Linked DNA regions of Drosophila melanogaster. The protein of the gene in region 2 purifies or fractionates together with the protein of the main gene of each other region. This does not show direct contact. Each region holds a gene or a part of one and is shown on either strand. Other genes may lie near its edges. The genes, in order: mRpL1 and bru3.

Region 1 (11,124 bases), on a different chromosome or scaffold from region 2:
CATACAGTCCTTGGAGTTCCTCCAGATACTCCAGCGTTCGCTCTTGCATGGTTTCTTGGCAGCAGGCTTCGTCCAAAGGCGATTTTTGGCTCTAAAATGATAAGTATTTAGCAAACAAATTGGTAAACAAATAACTCAAATTTTTAATTGTCATCTCACCAGCTCGGTTAGTCGTCCCAGTTCGCTCTGGACATCGGATATGGCGTTGAGCACGCCCGCCCTCATCAGGTTGTTGGAGTAGTACGGATAAATGCTACGAATGCTAAGTAATGCGGCCTGGCAGTCCCGCATGGACGGGTGTTCTAGCAGATCGGGCGAAGCATTCTTCAGTTGGCCAAACAGCTCATCGGCACGTTTCAGTGCTCCCAGCAAGGGGGCCAGATTTGTGTGGGACTCAAAGCTCTGGACGCGACGCGAATTGCTGGAGGGAATGAGAAGCCATCAGTTTACGTAGGATCGGGTATTCCAAATGGCACCTACACATAGTCGTTACACTGCACCTCCTCGTACTTATATATGGGCGTCTGCTGCTCCACCAGAGTGTGAGCGGTGACCAGTGGAGAGGCGGTGTCATGAATGTGCTCCTCCACCTCCACCATCACAGCCTCCGGCTCGTCGTACTTTTTGAACTCGTGATCGGTGAGGGCGTCGGTGTCCTCGACTTCCTTCAGATCGTTGACGTCGTTTAGAGAAAGGGATGAAGCCTGCTGGGAGATGGCCTGGGCCAGGTTGCAGTTGGGTGACACACTGTCAAGGGACAGTGAACGGCTGAGAGTCGGGGAGTGATCCGCTGCCACTATAGAAAAGTTAAGAATTAACTTCAGATCGATCAGATAGTTCCATACCCACCTTTATTGCACTCCTTGTTGATGCGCCTCACATCTATGGGACAGTAACCAGGATGCAGCAGGGCAAACGTGGATGCTTCCGGCCCGATTCCCCTAGCTTTCTCCCACTCGTAAAGCTTCCTAGTGAACTTCCTCGAGATGCCCTCAAACTTCATCACCTCTCCATCCGAAGTCTTGACCTCAATTTTCTTGGTATGATCCGGTACCACAATGGCCTTTAGGCGGGACAATCTATCCAAATATTCAAGGTTTAGTCTTCAGAAGAGAAAGATTTTCGGCTGTCTACAAACTTCTCTTTCTCGTGCGGCCTATGCTTGTACCATCGATCGTCATCGGATCCCCTTCTTGTACTCTGACTGTGCTTGGATCCTCGCTTCAGGGAGTCATTGTCCGAGGTAGTGCCGCCACCAGGAGCGCACTTCAACCGATTCCACTGCTCTGTGGGCAAGGCATGTTGTTAAATATGACTATAAAAGGAAAAACCGTGCCAAATACCAACCCAACTTCTTCTGAAACTTCTCGGGCAGATCCTTCTGATCAGGCAAAGCGCACAATCCTTGGCCCTCCAACTTCACTTGACCCATGCTCCACAGATTCCAGTCAATCTTGGGCTTAACATCCCCACTTTGGCTCTTGGCCGTGGGACTTGCTGCTGGTTCTGATGAGGTGATTGATCCTGCAGAGCAATTTTGCTGCTTGGCCCGCCACTTGGTTAGCTTCTTTTTGAACTGTGGGGTAAGATTCTGCTCCAGCTGGGCTGTGGACATGAGTTCGTTGTGCAACAGTTGGGTGGGCGAGTGCTCCTCGCTGCTGCGCTTTCCACTACCAGCTCCTCCTCCGGCTGCTCCACTTCCCAGTTTGACACCTAAAATGGTGGTTTAGCATTGATTAGAGGCTTATTGGATATGTCTTCAATGTTTTTGAGGATCCCTACTGCGGTTGCTGGCGCTGGAACGCTCTAACTCGAGTTGCTTGCCCTTAAACTCTGAATCTAGTTTGAGTACGAGAAGTTGATAATGTTGAAATATCTCGTCATCGGCGTTCTGTGGGAAATTCTTACAGTTTGGCGTAGTGGGTTCCGAGAAATCACCACTGGATAGATCCTCGCTCTCTGCAAAATACCACAAGGTTAAAGAAGTTTCGTTATGACAAAGGGATTGTGGAGTGAAACCATCCCCTCTTGGACCTACCAAATTCACCAAAGAAATCCGATTGCCTGGAAGGACTGCTGGGCACCGAGGAGGTCCCCGGCGAATGGACACGACGCATGCGCGAATCCTTGGGACTCTTGAGCGGAGAGTGCAGTTGTGGCAGATCACTATACATCTGGTTCACCTGGTTGAGATTCAGTGGACTCGGTGGCACCTTTTGTCGACGACTGCTGGTAGCCTTAATCTCCGCCACATGATCCTCTGGCAGGACCTCAAAGTCGGAGAAGGCTTTCGACCTTCGCAATGACTTGCTGGATGATGATTTGATTGGTAGTGGCGGAGCTGAAGATTTAATATTGTCCAGGCGTTCGTCAGTAGCGGATTTTCGTAACTCCACCTCAAAGTTGGAGTCGCGGGATTCGCAGCGGGTATCACTTTTAGAGGAATCACGACCTGGAAAGGATTGACATTACTCTAACGAGCTGTAAATTAATTATTATTAAGAGAATTACGATAATTCTGTCGGGTGGTGGCCTCAAGATCATCCATGGAGCTGGCCGAACTGATGGTACCAGGTGTCCCACCCGTATCACTCATAATATGACCAGAGGAGGAGCTGATGATGCTGTCCGCGGAACTGCTGCCGGCTGCCGCGCTAATGGGCACCTTGAGGTATCTGAAAAATAAATAAGCAATAGAATAACGCCAATGAGAGTAACAATCCGCAATACAAACCTCTCCACCTCATGGTTGAGTGGCATCAAGACGTGGTTTTCCAGAGCACCTGGTCCCGAAGGCGGCACATTTGCCCGCTCCCACTTGAAGGCGGCCTTGACCTTGGTCCACTTGGACACCTTGGCCTTGTTGTCGCTGTAGGTGCTTTGACGCCTCAGGATATATGGTCGCGAGGAGCTCAGCTTTAGACTGGGACGATCGCCCTTCATGAACACGTTTATGTCCTCCTCCATCATGGACTTGCTACGCTCGCGAATACTGTATAACAAAGTGTAATTTTGTTTTTGAATTATATTCATACGCAAAAAATCATAATCACCGTTTAAACTTTCCCTGCTTGAAGGGCGGCACCACCTCAGTGCCCATCAGAGATTCTAGCCAGGTAAGGGAGTGCTCCAGATCGAACTGATGGTCAGTATTGTTGGAGCGAGGCGGCTTGGTGGGTGGATGCTGATTGGCAACTTGACTAGTGGAAGGAACATCGTCATCATCAACAACTGTCAGCTCAGCTTCCCGTTCACCCGCCTCGTTGTCGGTGATGGTGGCTAGTCGGTGCTCCAGAAATCCCTCCAGCAAAGCGTACGTGCGAGTCAGCTCATCCATGGCTTCAATTGCCGAGTTGAGGCGAGTTTTCAGCGGTTCGATGGTGCCCCGATCCGCCCGATAGGGCTGGCACTTGGAGCAAGAGTGCTTACCCAGTTCGCAAACGGGCAGATCCTTGGCCTCTCTCCTCTCGAATTTAGGGGAGGCGGAGAGATTGCGGGCACGGGAGGCCACCGCCGGAAACTGGAAAATGTTCTCTTCCGTGCGACCGCACATCGCCGGCGGAGCGGTGGGCAAGGACTCATAGTGCAGGACATTCTGCCGGGATCGCGTTCGTCGGGGTTTTGGCGGTGGATGCGGCGGCGGAGGTGGCTTGTCCCACTCCATCTCGATATCGCTCAATAGGAACTTGTTTGTTTACTCTGCCCGATTCGCCACTAAAAACGCACACAAGAAAAGAATATCCGAGAATTATCAAAATCGGGAGATTGTTTATAGAAGAGGAAGACCAATGTGGAACGTCCGCCGCCAAGCACACACACACACACAAACACACACACACATACAAACGAGTCCTAAAGTGTAACGATTAAGTCCGCGAAATGTAAACAATATTTTCGAAAATCCCATTTCAGCACGTTTTCCCACATGTGCGAAAGTTTTGAATCTTTCCCAAAAATATGCACGCGTGTGGTCACTTAACCGAAACGGAGAACCGATTCGGAATGCACTGTGTTATTGTGTTTTGGGTCTTGATTACGCTTTTGGCTCAACAACTGGATGCCATCGTGCGTCGGGAGGCCCGCCGAAGAACAAATAAAAGCACGCCGCAAACCAAACTATTTATAAAACGCTGACACTCTTTTGTTTGCCTCCCCATGGCGATCGCACTACGCCACCACACACACCCAATGTGCCGCTGGCCCCCTTCTCGATTCCCCATCGCCAAGTGCGCAACACTTCCTTTATTCCACTTTTAGGTTACACGCAATTAATATTTCCAATTTATGCGAAAGTGCACGCACTCGCGAAAGAAATGTGCTGGATGGATGGATGGACGGACGTGGACCGGTGGATCAGTGGGTGGGTGGGTGAATGGGTGGATGGCTGGTGCTGGGATCAGATCATGTGTATCTGAAGTCGGCGGCCCCCATTACTTTCGCCACTTTCCGAACGTTATATCGAAACTGTTGCCACACATTGAATACACACATTTTTCTTTTCTTCGCTCGACTTTTCTTCCTGGCTGCGCTTCTTTTGTTTAATGGGTTTATGCGCAAGGTTGTCGGTCTATTTTTGGTGTTTTGTTGAAAGGAAAAACAATAACAAATTATTACTTGCACTTTTCCTACTTGCACACTCGGTCGTCCGACCCGCCGCGGAATTTTCATCGGCCACTCGCTCGCTGTCTCTTTCTCTCTCCCTCACGGATACTCGCGATTTTCCGCGACTTTGAAATTCCGTATACGTCCGTTCCGTTCGTCGGTCGAAGCTATTCTGAGCGGTACGGCGCTTTTGAACACATCGGAAAAGTTGAAAATTTTGAGATTTATTTATAGAGAGAACGGGCAGTGTTTTGATCTCTTTGCTGATTTCCAAAGGTCTCTTTGAATATAATTAATCAATGGGTTAATCAGCCCTATAGTGGATTTCTTATTGAAAAATAATAATTAAAATTCAATCACTATGTAATTAAATGTATTTTTACAATTTATGAGATAAAAATTGGGTGTACAGGTTCATACCCAATTTCTAACTCATAAATTATTATTCGAATAAACGCACCTCAAAATAGTTTTTGAAAAAGCCCGTTAAAAACATTGACTTCAATTCGTGCTATTACTATTAGCCAAGTTTACAACCATGGTTCGTGGTCAGGCTTTTATCAGCTACAGTGTGGTAAACAGTAGTTTTCCGACGAAGAGTTGGCAGTTCTGGCCGGCGAGGTTATGCAAAGCGAGAGGTTTGCATTCCAGTAAATAGTAATATTTCTGAAAGAAATGCAGTCCATTCTGTCTTCAATGAGGGCACTGGCCCTGCGCCAGAGCACGGTGGAGCCCCTCCGCCTGCTGCATCTTTCCGCCGTGAGCGAGGCGGCCCGTAAAGGAACTCGGGAGAAGGCCCGCAAGAAGAAAGTCAAGGTGGAAGTGAAGAAGGTTGGATTCATCCCGCACAACCAGCGCAACAAGAAGTAGGTTGTCAGCTCGATGTCCATAACACCGGATTTACTATCGTTCTTCTCTAGAATCAATGTGAAACGGGCGGACAAACATGTGGATGACTCCTGGAAACAGGTGCCCAAAGATGACTGCTATGTGGGGCGCTACTACCGCTGGCCAGTGTACTCGGTGCAGGAAGCTATCCAGTGCCATCGGGAGACGCATCATCCCAGCATGTACAACGTACCCAATGCTCCCCTCAATTTGGATATTGAACTCAACATGCAGGCGGAGAAGATCACACGTTTTGTGGATAACTTCCAGCGCATGGCCATGATTCCACACAAGTTTGACCACGGCGAGGAGCGGAAGATCATAGTTTTCACCAAGGGAAATGTGAGTGCAGCTTCTTAGTACAAAATCATAAAATAACATCTTGAAATTTATTTCCAGAATGAAGTCCTGGAGGCCAGGGAAGCTGGCGCCTCGCTAGTCGGCGGCGTGGAGCTCATTAAGGATATTACCAGCGGCGAGCTGCTGCTCTCCGACTACCAGTACGTCATTGCCCATCCGAATATACTGGCCGAGCTGGTGGCCCTGCGAGGCCTGATGAAACGCAAGTTCCCAAATCCAAAGAGCGAGACGCTGGGCACCAACCTGGCCGAGATGATCGTCAAATTCTCCAGCGGCATTAGTTACAGTGCAGCCAAGGATGAGTACCAGCAAAACTTTGGCCTGATCACCGCCAGTGTGGGCACTTTGGACATGGATGTCCAGAAGCTTGAGGAGAACATCAAGTTCCTACTGCAGGATATTAACACTATGAGGCCCAAGCGCGAGGGACGTTTCATTACACGTGTCCTGCTGAAGAGCCCGCCAAGCAGTGAGCAGCTGAAAATCGATCCCTTTGTCTACGTTCCAGAGATGTGGGACAAGAGCACGGCGAAGGTGAAAAGGGATGGGGCCAAGAAGCAGACAGAGCCGGCGGAACCCCAAGAAGCAGTTGCCTCCAATTAGTTAAAACAGAAGCCTATGTATTTTTGTTGATGGATTGTTTGTGCATACTTTAAACTTACATCTCCTAGAGTCCTAAACAGTCTACTTTACTTTGGCAGCTTTTAATTGCATTCAGGCCTTCTGGGTGGCGGTGCTGCGTTGTTGGTGCTGGCGCATCATCTCCAGCTGCTTGACACGGGTGTAGGCGGCGCTGGCCACCAGGACCACCACATTGGAGGTCCACCAGAGAGCCGATCGAACGTCATGGTAGTACTGAGTGGCGATCACCGTTTGAGCGCAGGCCTTGGCCGTTCCCGAGATATTATGCGTCAGGGCGGATGTGACCTGAAATATCGATCGGGCTAGATAAGCGATTAACATGTGAATTGTTTGATTACCTTGATTTCCAGCGCAGTGACAAATCCAATGGCAAAGCCACAAAGGCCACTAAGCGTCATCGCGGCCCAGAACCAAGAAGCCCACAGGTGCGGATACGTGATAATGCTCTCCAGCTCGCCATTGATGATGATCAGGGGCAGGAAGAGCAACGTGGAGTAGAGATTATTGTAGTAGCTAAGCAGCCATACCTCCTGGTTGACATAACCCAATGATTTCTTCGTCTGAATAGAAAACATGGCCAAAGCAAGCGAACTAAGCACTCCAAAGATGGTTCCCCGCCAGGAGAAGACCTCCGTCAGGCTTTCTTGGTCCACACCCAGCCAGAATCCAACGACAATAGCGCCACAACACAGCAGGCACTTGAAGCTGGTTCGTTGGCGTAGAATCACGTAAGTGAGGACCACACTAAACACGGTTGTTAGGGAGCGACCGATGTAGTAGAAGGCCACTGTGACGTAGGACAGCGACAGGTTGTTGGCCCCAATCATCAGGGTATAGAGCACAGATAGAGGCAGGATCTTGCGGAAGGTGTCGATGTCCAGTGGATTTCCCTCGGGAAACGTAAATACCGAGGGGTACTTCCTGCTCAGCCGACTTGCCACAAAACATATCACTGTGGAAACCACGCATTGGAACCAGGACATAAAGAGCGGAGCTCCCAGGTTTACTGTATCGCTGCTCAGCAGGTGCTTATTTACGAATACCGTCAATATCGAGGTGCACCTGTGGAAGAAATGGAACTGCAGGCGGCGCACAGATGGAGGGTTCGCACGCATTACTCACCAGTAGAGCGACACGACGAAGAATATCTTTAGGTATTTGTTAACCAGCCGGTTGTGCTCCTCCAGATTCTTGTACATTTCGGAGTTTTTAGGAATTGCAGAGCAATTTGTGCGAGCCAAAAGTAATTGTGCGTTTATTTTTACACGTATCTGCTACCCGGTCTGCCGATCAGCTGTTTTCGCTGAGAACGTTTCGGTTGAGTGCGGGGGTGGATTCAGCAGTTGTTCGTTGTGAGATAAAATGAATAATGAAATAAAAACAATCAGCACAAGAGTTCAACGACAGTTTCTTGCTCACCTTTATTGTGCGTTTTCAAAATGCTCTAATTGAAAAAAGTTGTTGAAAACTGTTGATTTAAATTTATTCGTTACAAATTAAATACATACATTATCCAAATCTTATTCTGTCGAGTGTTTTAACCAAACTTGTTACAGAAATAAAGTGCTATGATATAACAAAATATTAATTAAAATACATTTATGTTGTGAGGTGCTCGAAAGAGTGTTTATGTGGTGGATTCATTAATTTATTTTACAGCCTAGTTCTTTTCTAGGAAATATAAACATTTTTGTGTTTCTGAAGTTCCTTTAATGCGTTTATTGCCACTGTTTTCCTTATGATACTCCTCTGTACTTGCTAATTCAAGTCGACAATCCCCAAAATGTACACGTTATAGTAATTATTCTCTGTTAATCTCTCTCGCTGACTCTATAAATAAAGGAGTATGGCCATTTCGCCTACTTCTCCCACTCGCGGAACTCGGTTCCATTTGGAGGCTTCACGGTGACTCTTTCTTTGCCCACCTCATTCCAGTTGGTGCTGAGCACGGTGCCTCCGGACTCCGAGAAGGACTTGTTCATGGCCTTTTGGACCTCGGGCGAGGATGAGCTGTAGATTTTCTTGAACAGGTTGGTGAGGGCCGCCTCGCCCTTGGCCTCCTTCTCGTCGATCTTTTCCTCCTCGCTGACCAGCTGGTCCCAGTTCTTGGCCTTGGGTTTCACCGGTGCAGCCACGATGGCCTCCTCCAGATTCTCCCACCGAATTCCCGTCTCCTTAGCCAGTGTGATTTCCACTTTGGTCGAAAAGGCCTTGTAGGAGGAACGCTCCACAACAATGGGATGAAGCAGCTTCAGGTCCAACTCGTAGCCATCCGCCGTCATGTGGACTCGCTTCTGGGTAATCTCCACAGCATAGTTCTTATCGACGGCGTTCTTCAGGAGCACGGTGATGACCACCTTGGTCTCCGACTGGTACCAGTCGTGGCGCACGGACATCTTGCTGCTTCAGCTGGTACTGGAAATTGGGAATTGTTGAGGATTCCCCTATAATTGCTTTCGCCCACTAAACGGGGTTAATTTTATTATTATCTGGAATTATCTAGAATTCAATACAAATGAATGTGACTAAAGGCAGTGCTACCAGATATAAAATGATTATCGACAATCGATTTTTTGTAGCTTAAGTGGCAGCGCCTATTAAGTTTCAACATTCAAACGTCGATATCGATAAGTATCGACGAACCGGTTCAGAAATCAGGGCTGTGAGCGTGGAATAAGGTGTAGCAACGACTCTAACCTTAATGGAACTGTTGGTGCGGCAAGTAATTTCCAGCACTGCAAAAACTTAAATTAAGGCGCCAATTTCCCTTTTACAAATTTGATTTTTTTGTTTGAACTTTTCATCACGATTGAAATAATTTCAACAGACTAGAAAGTTGTCAAAGACAAAAAAAAGGTTACAAGTTCTTTTTTGCAAGGATACAAATCCACGGGAAATTATTTGAAATCTGCTCACACCAACTGCTCACTTCAACTGCAGCCAACTGAAAACAAAGTTCTAGCCAATTTACGGGCACTTTAATTTCGGTACTTCGCTTTGGGGAAAAAACAGCAGTCGAAAGCGCATAAGTCCCGACGACAGCAAACATAAATTCCAGTCGTCTGGATCCACCCCCCTAAAGAAATCCGCATAGTCAAAGTTTGTCCAAAGTGACAGCAGAATTGAAAAGTGTGCGAGGGGCTGGGCAAGTGGCCCAGAAACTATTTACTGCTCTAAGTTTTATGACTTGCACTCGACTTTTTTTGTATGCTTGCCTTTCCGATCAATTGACAATTATCTTGTGAGAATTGAAGAACAGCTGCTAAAATTCGGAAGACACGCCACTTTTGCATTTAAGTGTGGCAAACAAATTTATTCACAACATAATTTTTTCTCTTAACTTATAACTTTACTCTAACATTATAACTTCGCATATTTGCATCTATAAATAAAATAATAAATAAAACTAAAATATGAAATATGGAATATACAGTTACATTTACATTTCACGCGTGTTTTATGTGCAATTCCTGTACAGATTTGAGAAAATGTCGAGAATAACATTTTATTGCATTCATTACATTTCATTAACATTTGCATGCGAAGGGGAAAATTTAACAGAAGCGTTCTATTCCATATTATTATAGAAATGTTATATTTATCGCATGCGAGAAACCGAGCTATGTAAACTAACAGTCTGCATTCGCGCTTAACAGCTGTGCTGAATAGAGAGGGGTAAGCTGGCTGTTAAAATTTGACACGTGTACACGGTGTACATAAAACGACGTAAAAATAAAGTAGAAATGCTGTTTCGCTCTGATGAGAAAACCAATTGGAAAATATCTAGCCAAGTCAAATTGGAATTTAGTAACTAAAGATTATAAAGATTTATATGTACAGTAAATATAGGCAACGAAAGCAAATGAAAACTATGGCTATTTAAAGTACTCATCACTTGGCCAAAAACACTCTTTCACTGCTTCCACTTACGACAATTAACTGTAAATTATATTTTCCATCAAACGCAATCCGCTCCCCTCCCCCCGGCCAACGAACGCAAGCTGGCATCTCGAAACCGAAATTTATCGAAAACTTTTAGTAAAGCAAATATTGACGTGGTTTCGAGTGGTTGGATGGCTGCGCGGGTGGAGGGGATTGGAGTGCGCTGCACTTGGCGGGAAATGCACTTGGACGGCATACAAATGGCGATGCTGCGATGCGAGTGATGATACAAACGACGTGTTAGCTTGCTTGTTTGTTTGTCACTTGCGCCGCGTGCAGAAAGTAAGAGCCCACCCACTCCCACTCGCGCCAGCTCCACAAAACTTGACCTTATGGCTCTCCAGTTTAGCTGCCTAATATGGTCGTAGCGACCATGCACGCCAGCCAACATCTTTCCGGGATTGAGCCCTCGAAAAGCTGACACTGATTAATAGCTTAAGAAGCAGGAAGCCATTGCCGTAAAGCTAGCTACATGCATTGGGTCAGCATTCGCATCCGCCAGCGTCGTTATTTGCATGATAAAAGCAAAGTGCTTGCAACGTTCAGCTGCGCCGATTGAGCAGCTCCTGGAGCAGCAGGGCGCATCAGCTGGGTCCGGCAAAGCCATAAAAGCGAGCCAGAGATGATAAAACCGAAATGGCTGCCACGAACACGTCCGCCGGCGAAGCCCTGCAATTGATAACCTAGAAT
Region 2 (11,337 bases):
ACAAAACAAAGTACACAGTTTTATAATAAAAACCAGTAAGCAATCCAACAAACCGTGTTGATAGACGCTTAAGCTACCCCTTGCCCAACTTGTTAGCCTTATACGAGTAATATCAAAAATCACTCCCCAACTGTTAATCATCGCCCGAAATTGTAATGGCATGTGCAGCAGTCAGTCCATCCTGCCACGTCCACTTATACTCCCCATAAACATGTATGTAACAGCTTGTAACAGATTTCTGGGGGAGCAGAGATTTTTGTTTTTGCCACCGTTTTTCAACTCAACTCTTTTCCGTGTAACTCATACTACGCTGTGTCTCTGGCCTTCGAGCTTGCATGCGAGTTTAAAGTTGTTGGGTGCCCGGTTTAGATTTACCTCCGACCCACCAGAAGCACCCATCCTACTCCATCCCCAAAACACTCTTTTCGTGTTGCCGAACTGAACTGGGAACTCTGAACTGTGAACTGGGGCGTGGGTAGTAGGTAGTAGGTAGTAGGTAGTAGGTAGTTGGTAGTGGGTACTACGTAGTGGGCCTTGGGAACCGAGAGCTGAGTTGAGAGACTAACGGCAAGCCAAGCGCCCCAGGTGCAAAGTGTAAATGAAGACTGATTGCAGTGCACATTCAGAGGGGGGCTTTGGGGTGGCTGGGAGAAAGGATAAAGAAGAGGTTGCGAGTACAAGAGTGGCATAAAAAACGCTGCTCTTTGCCCGACCCCCTTGTTTGCCGAAAAACGGGGGGTAATTGCGGTTAAGTGCTGGTTTATTGGCTTGGCAAAAAGGACTTAAAAGATATTTGAATTTGGCAACGCGACAAAAATACAACCTGAGCGATTCTAGTGCCAATGTATACAATTACTTGAGCCAGGTGGAGGGTAAAAAAGAGCTTGACGATTTTATTGAATCCTGATTATATGGTATGGCTGCTGATACCAGCATAAATAACTTTTACAATTCATTATACCAACATATAATTCATCCCAACTCGATTGTTGGCTTTCTTTCGTCCACATTAATTTCTAAAAGCATTTGCCATTCATCGGGATGCAGAGCCCCATCAGCGGGTCACATTAAAAAATTAATTTTTTAATTGAAATACAAACCTCCTGGCAATCCGGAGAGCTCCCAAAAGGGGTGAATCCGTGGGTGGATCCAGGACACTCCACATTTGTACGTGTGTATGTGTATGCGTTCAGTTGGCGGGGGACAGACAGCTGCTGTCGCTCACTTAAGTTAATACGCAAACCAAATGTCACTCAACATTATCAACAGCAAACGTAATCAGTTAAAACTTTTTCCTGCCTCGCTCTCCGTCGCTGTTGTTGTTGTTGTTTGTTGTTGTTGTTATGGGCCTAAACCATTCCACAGACCGACAGACTGAATGACAGACAGTGGTTATTGTTGTTGTTGTTGCTGCTGTGCAAAAAGTTGGCAACATGTTTGTACTTTATTTCAATTTTGTATGTCCTCTACTTGACTCTGCTCCGACAGGCAAGCCAACGTTGTGAGTGCTCAAAACAAAGGGAAATAAAAGCACGTTTTACAACGAATCCTAGATGTTCTGCCAAGCAGCATGTGTATTATCAATGCCGATCCATTTCCTATTAACTTATTGATTTTTGCAAACATAACAATCCTGCAACTGACTTGTTGTTTATGATACAACTAGACATAGCCTTGTAGCTATATTTCTCCTAATCTACAGGACAATGAACGAATTTCGTCAAGCAACTAACTACCCATCGACTGTGCGCTATTTCCTCGAAAAAGCATTTTTTTTCTATTTGGTTTCACTTTTCGGTGAATGAAAACTGAACACCAAACTGTAGGCTGAATGTCTAAATTTTGCTTTGCTGTTGAGGGCCGCAACCTGATATAGTCCTCCTGCCTTCGCAACGAGCTTGTCGTAAGTGCTCGCGGGTTTTTGCATATTTTTGGGCAACTGCTCGCGCCGCGTCACTTTCCAAAACTGCTAACAAAGGGCAAAGGATGGGGCACGGAGGCAATGTGGAGCGGTTTCAGAAGCGAAGTGGCGTGTGTGGGCCACTTGACAGCCGTTTAAATGCATTAAAAAATTACCTACTCTAACATGAGCAATGGAAAAACGGGAGGTGGTGGCAAAAAAAAAAAAAAAAAACACAGGCAAACATGTCAGCCGCCCAATTTCACATGTGACAGAAGGGCGGAAGCGGGAGAAGCGTGAAGGGCTACGTGGATGTCACGCTCGACGGCAAAGTATGGAAAAATCAAATCCATTGCAATTGCCGTTCGATCTAAAGGGGTCAACATCAAGGAATGGATTTGTTCTGGGCAGGCGTGCACATTTTCAGAGACCTACCAAACAAGCTTCACTCAATCAGAAAGCAACTTCCTGATTTTGAAGGCCTCTATTGAAAACTCATTTCAAAACTTATTCACATCGTCTATGGAATAATATAAGCTTTGTGACGTATATATATTATAGATTAAGCCTTTATCTTAACATGTAAACGAAAGATTGGCGCCCAACGTTTTTTCTATTTGTTCTTTAAGAGCGTGCTGTACAGAACTTAATTTTTTAGGACCAAAACATTAGAGAACATCTAAAATAAAAGACTTAATAAATATTAAAAGTGGTATTTGTAAATGCGAGCATGTGAAATCATTATTTCTGAAGAGCTACAAATCCTTTTCTGATGAGTTCATCCTTTTTGTTAGGATATCAAAGAAAAACCACATATACCGGAGGAAACAACTCAGCGGAATACCCGGGCTGCAAATTACGGACCTGGGTGACTGACAGCGTCCGACTTTTTTTTTTTTTTTTTTGGTGGTCCTGTCCTGTTCCGGGTGCAAAAACGCATTACGCATTCACTTTGCTCAACACTTGTGTTCATTTCATGCAGCCTATGCCCATCCTCTCGCTTCGATCCCATTACCACTGCTCGCTTACCGCACTCTGGTCTGTGTACTTTTGTTCAAATATTCATTGCAAATTCCAATTTAATTTTCGCTTAAATTGGCAATACCAACAGCGAAATCTGCAGTTGATAGCGCCGCTGAAGTTTGTTTTCTTTAAAGGTATTTTCAGTTTTACCTGCGTGTTGGTGTATTTTTTTTAGTGCCGCTTTGCGCAGATTAACATATTTAATAGTAACTGAGAAAAGATATCATTAAATAGGAACGAGTTGTACAATAAGTATTTTGCATATTTTATTTCCACATCAGCATTATTATAATTTTATCTCGCCAATTTATCAACTGCACCATTTAAGCTACGAGTTGTGAAGCACTATAAATTAATTAGAGTTTGTGAAACAATTTTTGGCACACTGACTTATAATTGAAACTTTCCTACAAGTGCGGCAATTGCTAAATTTAAAGACGCAAAAGTAGAACCATAGAACGGAAAAAGTTGAGATAAAGGTTAGATAAAAAAAGCTTAAATAGGCTTAAATAGTTTTCTCAATTATAAAGTTTATACTTTCTTATTAAACTTCCTATCCCCTTGCTTGTTTATACAATTATTCTTAAAGGTAATTTCACCTAAGGCGACAGCCCATTAATACCAATTTTATATTAGTACATTTACGAGATTTGCTTTACCAGCTCAGTATGCACAATATAATAGTCTCATGCTGCGACATTCTTTGCTTTATTGCCTTAAGATTTATGTCATTGAATTGGCCTGATTGGGCCAACTGGGTATGAACCAACTTGGCATTCTTTCCAGTTTCAATAAATGGGCACATGCTGCGTATGAGCAATATTTCAATTACATTTTAAACGCTTACCAATAGATTTCATAATCTTTCTTTTACTATTCATAAGCTACTATTTGAAACTTTTCATTGAATAAGTTGTCAAAGGAGGACATGTTATAAACATTTCCTGTGAGAGAGACAGTGTGTTAGAATTGCCCTTCAAGGGGCCTGAAAAGGTCAAATGGCAACGTAAGTCAACGCCGCTTCCTTTCACTTCATTATTACTTTCTAATCCATACTTATTCTATTTCTAATTAAACAATTAATAATATAAATTTTTCAAACTATTATAAAAAAAGGAAAATAGTGAAATCTTATGTAAGGTTATTGCTGTTAAATTTTACCCATTGATGTTGCAAGCGATTGCAGTAATTTACTAACTTACTTCTGGGTGAAATGGAGAAATTATGGCTTATATAAATCGCATTGATAAATCTCTGGCCAGCACGTAATATGGAAATTAAAACACAACTCAAACAAAGAGCAGTCTAGAAACGGCAAAAACCATCTCACCCACATGCACATTTACTTGCGCGCCAAATGTTTCCTCACATGCAAAATGGACATGCAGCATTGTTTTAATTTTTTAGTAACTTAACAAAACGAAAACGCGTTTGGTATGTCCAGGGTTCGCAAATTACAGTGTCTACTTTTTGTGTTCTAAGTATAAAAACGGCAATTAAAAATTACTATTCCCTAAGCGAACATTTAAGATTAAATACTACTAGTAATATCAATTGGTCTTAAAATGAACTCGAAAATAGTGGAATATATTGAGAACATTGTAGGAAAATGTTTTCAGGCCCCAAAATGAAAGAAAATTGTCAAATGCAAGACTTGTCTCCAAATCAAGCCCTAGATGCCAGACATTTGTGGTCGGCCAGCTAGGTTTCTTTAGCAGTCACAGGAAAATCTGGTCTATTACGTTTGTGACCCAACATTTTTGCAGCCTCATGGCATGGGAAATGGAAAATTGTTACTGAAAATCGCAGACTCCTCCAGACCCAGGCATCCGTTTGCAAATGTTTCAAGTTTAAAATGAGCGTGTAATTAGAAATGTAAAGAGGGTAATGAGGAGGGCAGCCCAGGGTAAACGGAAAGTGGAGTCGAGTCAGCTGCCGAGCAAAAGTCACTGCTGCGTCTCGTCCCCAGGAAATGTACCACGCAAACGAAGAAAATGGCGAATAAAATTGAAATAAAGTGGTGCAAATGCAAAAACGTGCACACACCCGTACAGCTCACCTCGCCGCAAAAGTGCAGCAAGCACCACCTCAAACCGTTGGAAGGAGGTTGAAGTTTCTGCTCCCAACAATGAGTAGCATAAAAAGTTATGTATAAAAATCTTTCGCTATTTTTTGCTTGCACTTCCGTTACAAGGCGAACCGAATTTGCATGTGACATTTGTGGTTGGGTTTTTGTTGATGGATGAGGGTCGACAGATATCTTTGAATCAGCAAAGTTGGCTGATAAAGCCATGAACGACGTTGTGTACGTGTGTTTAAATTAGAAAAAACTGTGATATATTTACCAAGGGAAATGCAATGGTATCTTAATTACAATTTTTGATATGTTTTGATAATAGTTAGAGGATATTAAAAGATCGCTGCATGAAAGATTAAGGAGTCTTTTGTGCGATGAATTAAACTATAATAATACTGTGCAAATTTACTGAGATAGTCGTTTGATTAATGTGGGCTAAAAAAATAAAAAGAGAAACGGACATATATCAAAATATAACACTATGAATATGTAAAGCATCTTCTTATTCTATGAAACTTTTGACTAAAATCATTTTAATAATTTATATTTTCAAAAATAATTGTTTATCAAAAGTGTTTATTTTTTTACTTACCACTTTGTAACGCCCAATTAAGCTGTAAGCGCTTTAATAGCCAAACATTCGAAAACACGACGAAAAGTATTTGTTGTTTTATTTGCTGTATAATTCAATTTGTTTTCACGGTTAGCATATGTAATATTTACTCTGCATATTTATTCAATAATAAATATAAATTTGTATTTCATAATTTTTTTTTTTTTTTCACCTAACAGTGTTTGCTGGTATTTAATGATCTGGCGCACCTCCTGGTCTACACGGTTTTATTACACATTGCATTAGGCACTACATTAATTCCTGATGTTTTTGTTGTATTTTTTAATTTCGCTTACGCTGTTTGCAGAATTAATTTATAAAATATTTAAAGAACGACGCGCCGCAAGCTTTTATTTTTGGTTATTTCTGTTTGTGTTGTTTTTTTTCCCATGAATTATTGATGGCGTTTGTTTTGTATTTTGTTATTCATTTATTACTTTTGATAATATTTTTTGCAGACGCTGTAAAACATAAATGCACAGTGATGTTTAAAGAGGGGGTGTAGGGGGGCGTGTTACAAATCCATATGAGGGCGCGTAACGGCGTGGCGATAATAAACATGCACAAACACAATAAATTTTACATTATAAACAGCAAGAGCAACAAAATGTACAATTAGCAACAGCGAAAGCATAAATTTCGGTTAAGAGTTTAAACGCGAAACAGCAAAATCTCGTATACGCCATGTGAACGCGTGATAATTATGGCTTTTGGGCACGCAGTATAGGCCACAGAAGATATCTTGAAATTGTTGTGTATATTTTTTACATCACTTTCCCGACATCCTGCAAAATGAGCGCTGAAAGCGAAATGTTTTCCAGCAAGGACATGGACGCGAGGTGGCAAGGTCTGTCAATAGCTAAAGTTGGCTGACGAAGCCAAAAACAAAACACTGGCTGCGAAGAAGCCAAGCGCAGCCTTTTGGCAGCTGGAAAAACACATATATGTACACGTCTTTGTGGGCGCAGTCTGGGCTAGTAAAAGGCAAGCGCGGAGCAAAAGGACTCTGGCTGTAGCGACAAAAAAGGAAATCAAGCCAAAAGCTGAGAAAAAAGCGCAAGCGGATGATGAGACCTGACTGGCCCAGAAGAAAATGAAGAGAGAAAAGCGGCGAAAATCCAGAGCCAAGTGATACAAAAAGGATACTCCTCACCCATTTAATGGCGAAGTGTTCATTTCGGGGAAAAGTACATCATCCTTTCTAGGTGAATACTATGAGTAACAGTCATTTATCGGTGCGGTGTTTATTAAGGATACTTGGGCTGTATATCTAGCTTGCGGAGAAAAGCGAGATCTAGGTGACAAGAAAAGGATACTTCTTAGCTATTAGAGAGATGTTTCTTAGTATATGGATACTATGATTCCTTGTTATTTATTAATAAGATTAATATTACACAATAATTAGCGGAAAAGAACGAAAAAGAGGCCAAGAATAAATACATTTCTTGCTGGATACTATTCTCATGTGCCTTGAGCAACTGACGCGGACAATGACGTGACAATGAACAATTATGGGTCAGTTATTGGCCATCTTTGTCCATTGTCATTCTCTTCATTTCTTGAAAGATCCCCTTTTAATGTGATTTATTGATTGGAGGTCAAACTTTATACGTCCCACTACCTCGGGGCATATATGTATATGCCATAAAAAAAAGGCAGAGAAAACGTATTTGTCATGCCTTCCACTCTGTTATCTTTCTATCTTCTTTGGCCCTTATTCTTTTGCCTGTTTAGCCATTTTCCATGATGACTTGGCTTGTGTACGCCCGACTAGGTTTTTGCTATTTACACACGCCTACATGGCAGGGGTCCCCTTCTCAGCCTTCAGAGGCCATAATATCTTTGCCCCGCCAGAATGGCTGCGTCGTCTGTTTTATAATTTTCACAGACGTCGCCCCCATCACAAGCCCCCCTCCCCACCATCTTTCAAGTGCCCTGGGTTGACACTCGCACATTCAAACACTTCATAAAAAAAGCCGCGCTTGTGCCCATTATTTATGTATATTTTCACCTACATTTATTTTATTTATGGAAGGCAAAACGAATGGAGACAGTGAAACTAAAAAGGAACGCTGTGAGTTAAGATGAGCCAAAAAGCCTAAGGGAGAAACATCGAAAACACCAGATGAGAATGGAAGAGGATATCTTTAACACAAAAAAGGAAGGACTTTGCCGGCATAAAAAACAGGCGCTATTAATCAGAAGCTCAATTTAAAGGCAAATTTAAAAAGCTGCGAAATACTAGCGTTTATACGTTTTTTTTTTTTCAATATTTAAAAAATTTTTACACTATTTTTTGTGTGCAAATAAATCGGTTAAAATAAATCATATTAATTTAATTATAACAAATAAATCGAAAGAACTGCGCAAATAGAGAAAGAGAAACTAGTTTTAATTGTATCCACTTAAATCAGCCAGTAAAGCTATCGTTGCTGAATTTATCAATTAAATATTTTTTCTGCTCTTGTGAACCCAACGCCAAGAACCCAATAAACATTAAGTTTGTATGTTTGCTTGTGTCATAATAAGCATATTTAATAGAAGCTGTGCCTCCACTGCCGCGCAGCCATGATGCATTTGCATATATGTCGGGGCATAAATATATAGAACGCAATTTATATATGCATCTAGTTAAAGTTTTTCCTCTTTTTGGTTATGGCAGCGGGCGGAGAAGGGTGTTGACTTGACAGGCGTCGGGGGAGGAGGTAGAGGTGGTGGAGGGGCTGAGTGCAGAGGGCACGTTCGGATGAAGCCTGCACTTGTCACGCCTTGTCTTCTTCTCATTCACCATGTCTATGTGTGCGCGTGTATGTGTGTGGGTGTATGGGTGTATATGTGTGTGTGTGTGGCGTTATTTGCATGGGGGCGTGCGTGTGTGTGCGGTTTGGCCTCGTTGAGAATGCAAAACAAAAACACAAAAATGAGCAAGCGAGATAAATAAAAAGGACAACAGTGGAAAAAAAGGACGAGACTTAGAAGGCAATGCCCGTGGCTTTCTGGGTCTGCCCATAAGTGTCTGTGTTTGTGGATGTTTACTTCTGTGTATGGATTTGACGACATTTGCTATATTGTAAGGACCAAAACAAGCTTAGATCACACTACTGTGGAACGATTTAAACAGAGAGAATCCTCTCAAAGGCCCTGGCAATTCTGGCACCATTAAGTTTTGTAAGTCAGCTTAAATGCTTCTTTACAATTCGTCTTGTTCCTTACATGTGGGTACAATTTTGGTATTTTTAAAGTTTTCGTCTTTAGTCAACTACAATACTATTTTTGCCAATTTTCTATTTCTCGCCAAAATAACGTTATAGATTTTTACAGCTACTCACTTAAATGCCACAAAAAGGGGAAAAAATTATTTTTAATAATCGTCACAAATCTTTTCATCCGTGCGCTTCTGCCATCAAAGTTAGTAAAAGTCAGCGGAACTCGAGGAGTTTTAAAGTACTCATAAAAAGAGAGTTCAGAGCTGAGGAACTTGAACTGGGTATTGTAACAAAATAAAGCGTAGAAAATAAAGGTTGGAAATAATCAATAATGAAATGAAGGAGTTTGCCGAAACTTTGGCAATAAGTGGTTTTGGGCTTGGCTTCCCTCGGGCAGACTCCGTAGGTTTTGCTTAATTTTGATGCCTTACTTAAATACCAGGCAAAAGTTGGTATAGCAACAGATGCAGCTTGCGATTAAGCTGAACTTTTTGTGAATATTTCTGTCGCTTAAATATTACATTAGTCTGCCTAAGCCCGCCACTCCTTCTTAACCACAACGGGGTAATGAACTCAATGCGCGAGAGGCAGTCAGGCTCTGGAACCACAAGCTTAAGGGGGCAAACTAATGTATATTAAGAAAATACGTTTGCTATTATACGAATTTTTAGTACACTTTCTGCTAGACTCAAGTCAAATAATACACTCTTCTAGTTATCTTTTATCACAGGGTAAATTAATTTGAAGGCGCAATTTCCATTCCGAAGGTCAGTTCAAATTACTTTTCATTTTAGCATATCCTTAATAATCCTTATTCCATCAGCTTGGTTAGGGTATAAATAACAGGCCGCCGCCTGTAGCGATTGGCTGCACAAATGGAGCGTTTCAAGCCGGCAGCTGCAGCTGCTGTATCGAAAAACAAGCCCCTTTGCACGTGTACGTGGCTCTGTGTTCTGTGGGTGTCAACAATTGCACAGCTGGGCACACATAGCACACTCAGACACACACACACACACACATATACGGCCACAGAAACTAAGATGCTGGCCAAGGAAGCTGCGCAAGTGGAAGAAATAATGGCTGTAGCGCCTGGGAGAATCAGCAGCAGTTGCCTCACTCACACATATTTAACTTATTGTGAGTCCATGGGTGGACAACTTTAAAAGGTTCAGTGTGGACAGGCAGAAAGGACCTCGGAAGTAGACAGGACCATAGGTCAGTGTATAAAATGTGATCAACATTTTTATGGGACGCCAACTCTTAACTTCAATTCAAGCACACTGTGCGTATGAGTAATGTCTGTTTAACAGGTGGGAGTTCGATTGGAAAAGTAATAGCCTGCAATGCTTGGAAAGTGTTTCGCTGAACATAGTAAAACTATTTTAACGTTTTGTGTCTGCTTAAATTGTCTGAATTTATAGCGGTCAATTTGAGCAGACATATAAGCCGCGCCAAATTGCTTAGTTAGCTAAATAAAAGAAAACTAAATCTCTTTAAGGATGGCAGTATAGAGTGGATGGCTTTGGCAACTTGATTTATATGACTATGCTTCACAAATGTATCCACTAACAATAAAAATCGTATAAAGTTTTAATGTAATTTAAACGTGCGGCACAGCAAACTAAGAAGTAGCAGGACAACACAGTCAAGACAAAACTGAAAACATGAAATAACTTTAATTTCAAATTATTGTTCTGGACGAAGATGGCATTCAAAGCAGACACGCTATCAATTTGAAATATGTTTTAAAAAGCTTTTCCAAATCAGCATTATTAAAATGAGTTGGTAATTAATTGCATTTTCCGAAATACTTTTGCTTTCCACCAACGAGATGTTGTCGAATTTTTGAAGCACAACTTTCACTGGAATCACAAACACTGGGGCCGAAGGGTGGTGGCTTTTGGAGGGGCTTTAATTCTCTTTGACGCTCGTCAAAGTTACGGGCCAAAATGTATCAACACCCGACTCGTCGGTTGGATGGCCAAAACAAGCGGTGCAGGATCTGGACCGAAAGAGGAGAAAGATGACGCCGACGATGACGAGGGCGATGGCGATGACGATGACGAAAACTCGTAGCACAAACACGGAGGAGGCGACAACAAGGACGACGCGGTGGGTGAACGACGATAAATGTTTACAAAGCGGCTACTGCCACACAACTGAAGCGACAGGATGCAATAGCTGGCAATGCCAGGCGGCTGCGGAACGAATGGAAATGGAGCAGTCAAAACACGACTTCGGCTTTTCCGAAGGACTCTTTTTGGGATGGCCGACAGTGGTGGTCGTTGTGTGGGTGGGGTTTTTGGATTGGGTGGTGGTGGGGTTTTTGTTTTTGCTTCGGGAAAGTGAATTCGCCGGTCGAAGTTTGGGTTGCCTGACTGCCTTTTTTTCTTTAATTTTGGGGTTGGTCATGGGGATTTCGCTTTAACGGGCTAACTAACCTACCGCAAAAAAACTGACTCTAGAACTTGTAAACATAAAGATAAGAAAATAGCCAAATGAATTATTCAAACTTGCA

The links.
Region 1: the proteins of bru3 (region 2) and mRpL1 purify together in Drosophila melanogaster (affinity purification with mass spectrometry, with the first as the bait; one large-scale study listed by BioGRID). This does not show direct contact.

The regions. Positions count from the first base shown.
Region 1 is NT_033777.3:8,296,235-8,307,358, forward strand, and holds mRpL1 (mitochondrial ribosomal protein L1), read left to right. Parts: upstream 1-5,205; 5' UTR 5,206-5,277; coding exon 5,278-5,468; intron 5,469-5,522; coding exon 5,523-5,832; intron 5,833-5,889; coding exon 5,890-6,453; 3' UTR 6,454-6,536; downstream 6,537-11,124. Other genes in the region: CG9626 (uncharacterized protein), read right to left, coding at 1-91, 160-421, 481-796, 850-1,079, 1,139-1,286, 1,348-1,713, 1,783-1,959, 2,039-2,452 and 3 more; nac (neuronally altered carbohydrate), read right to left, coding at 6,565-6,777, 6,831-7,554, 7,615-7,691; Sgt1 (suppressor-of-G2-allele-of-skp1), read right to left, coding at 8,352-8,888.
Region 2 is NT_037436.4:13,792,432-13,803,768, forward strand, and holds the start of bru3 (bruno 3), read right to left. Parts: upstream 6,097-11,337; 5' UTR 5,593-6,096; intron 1-5,592.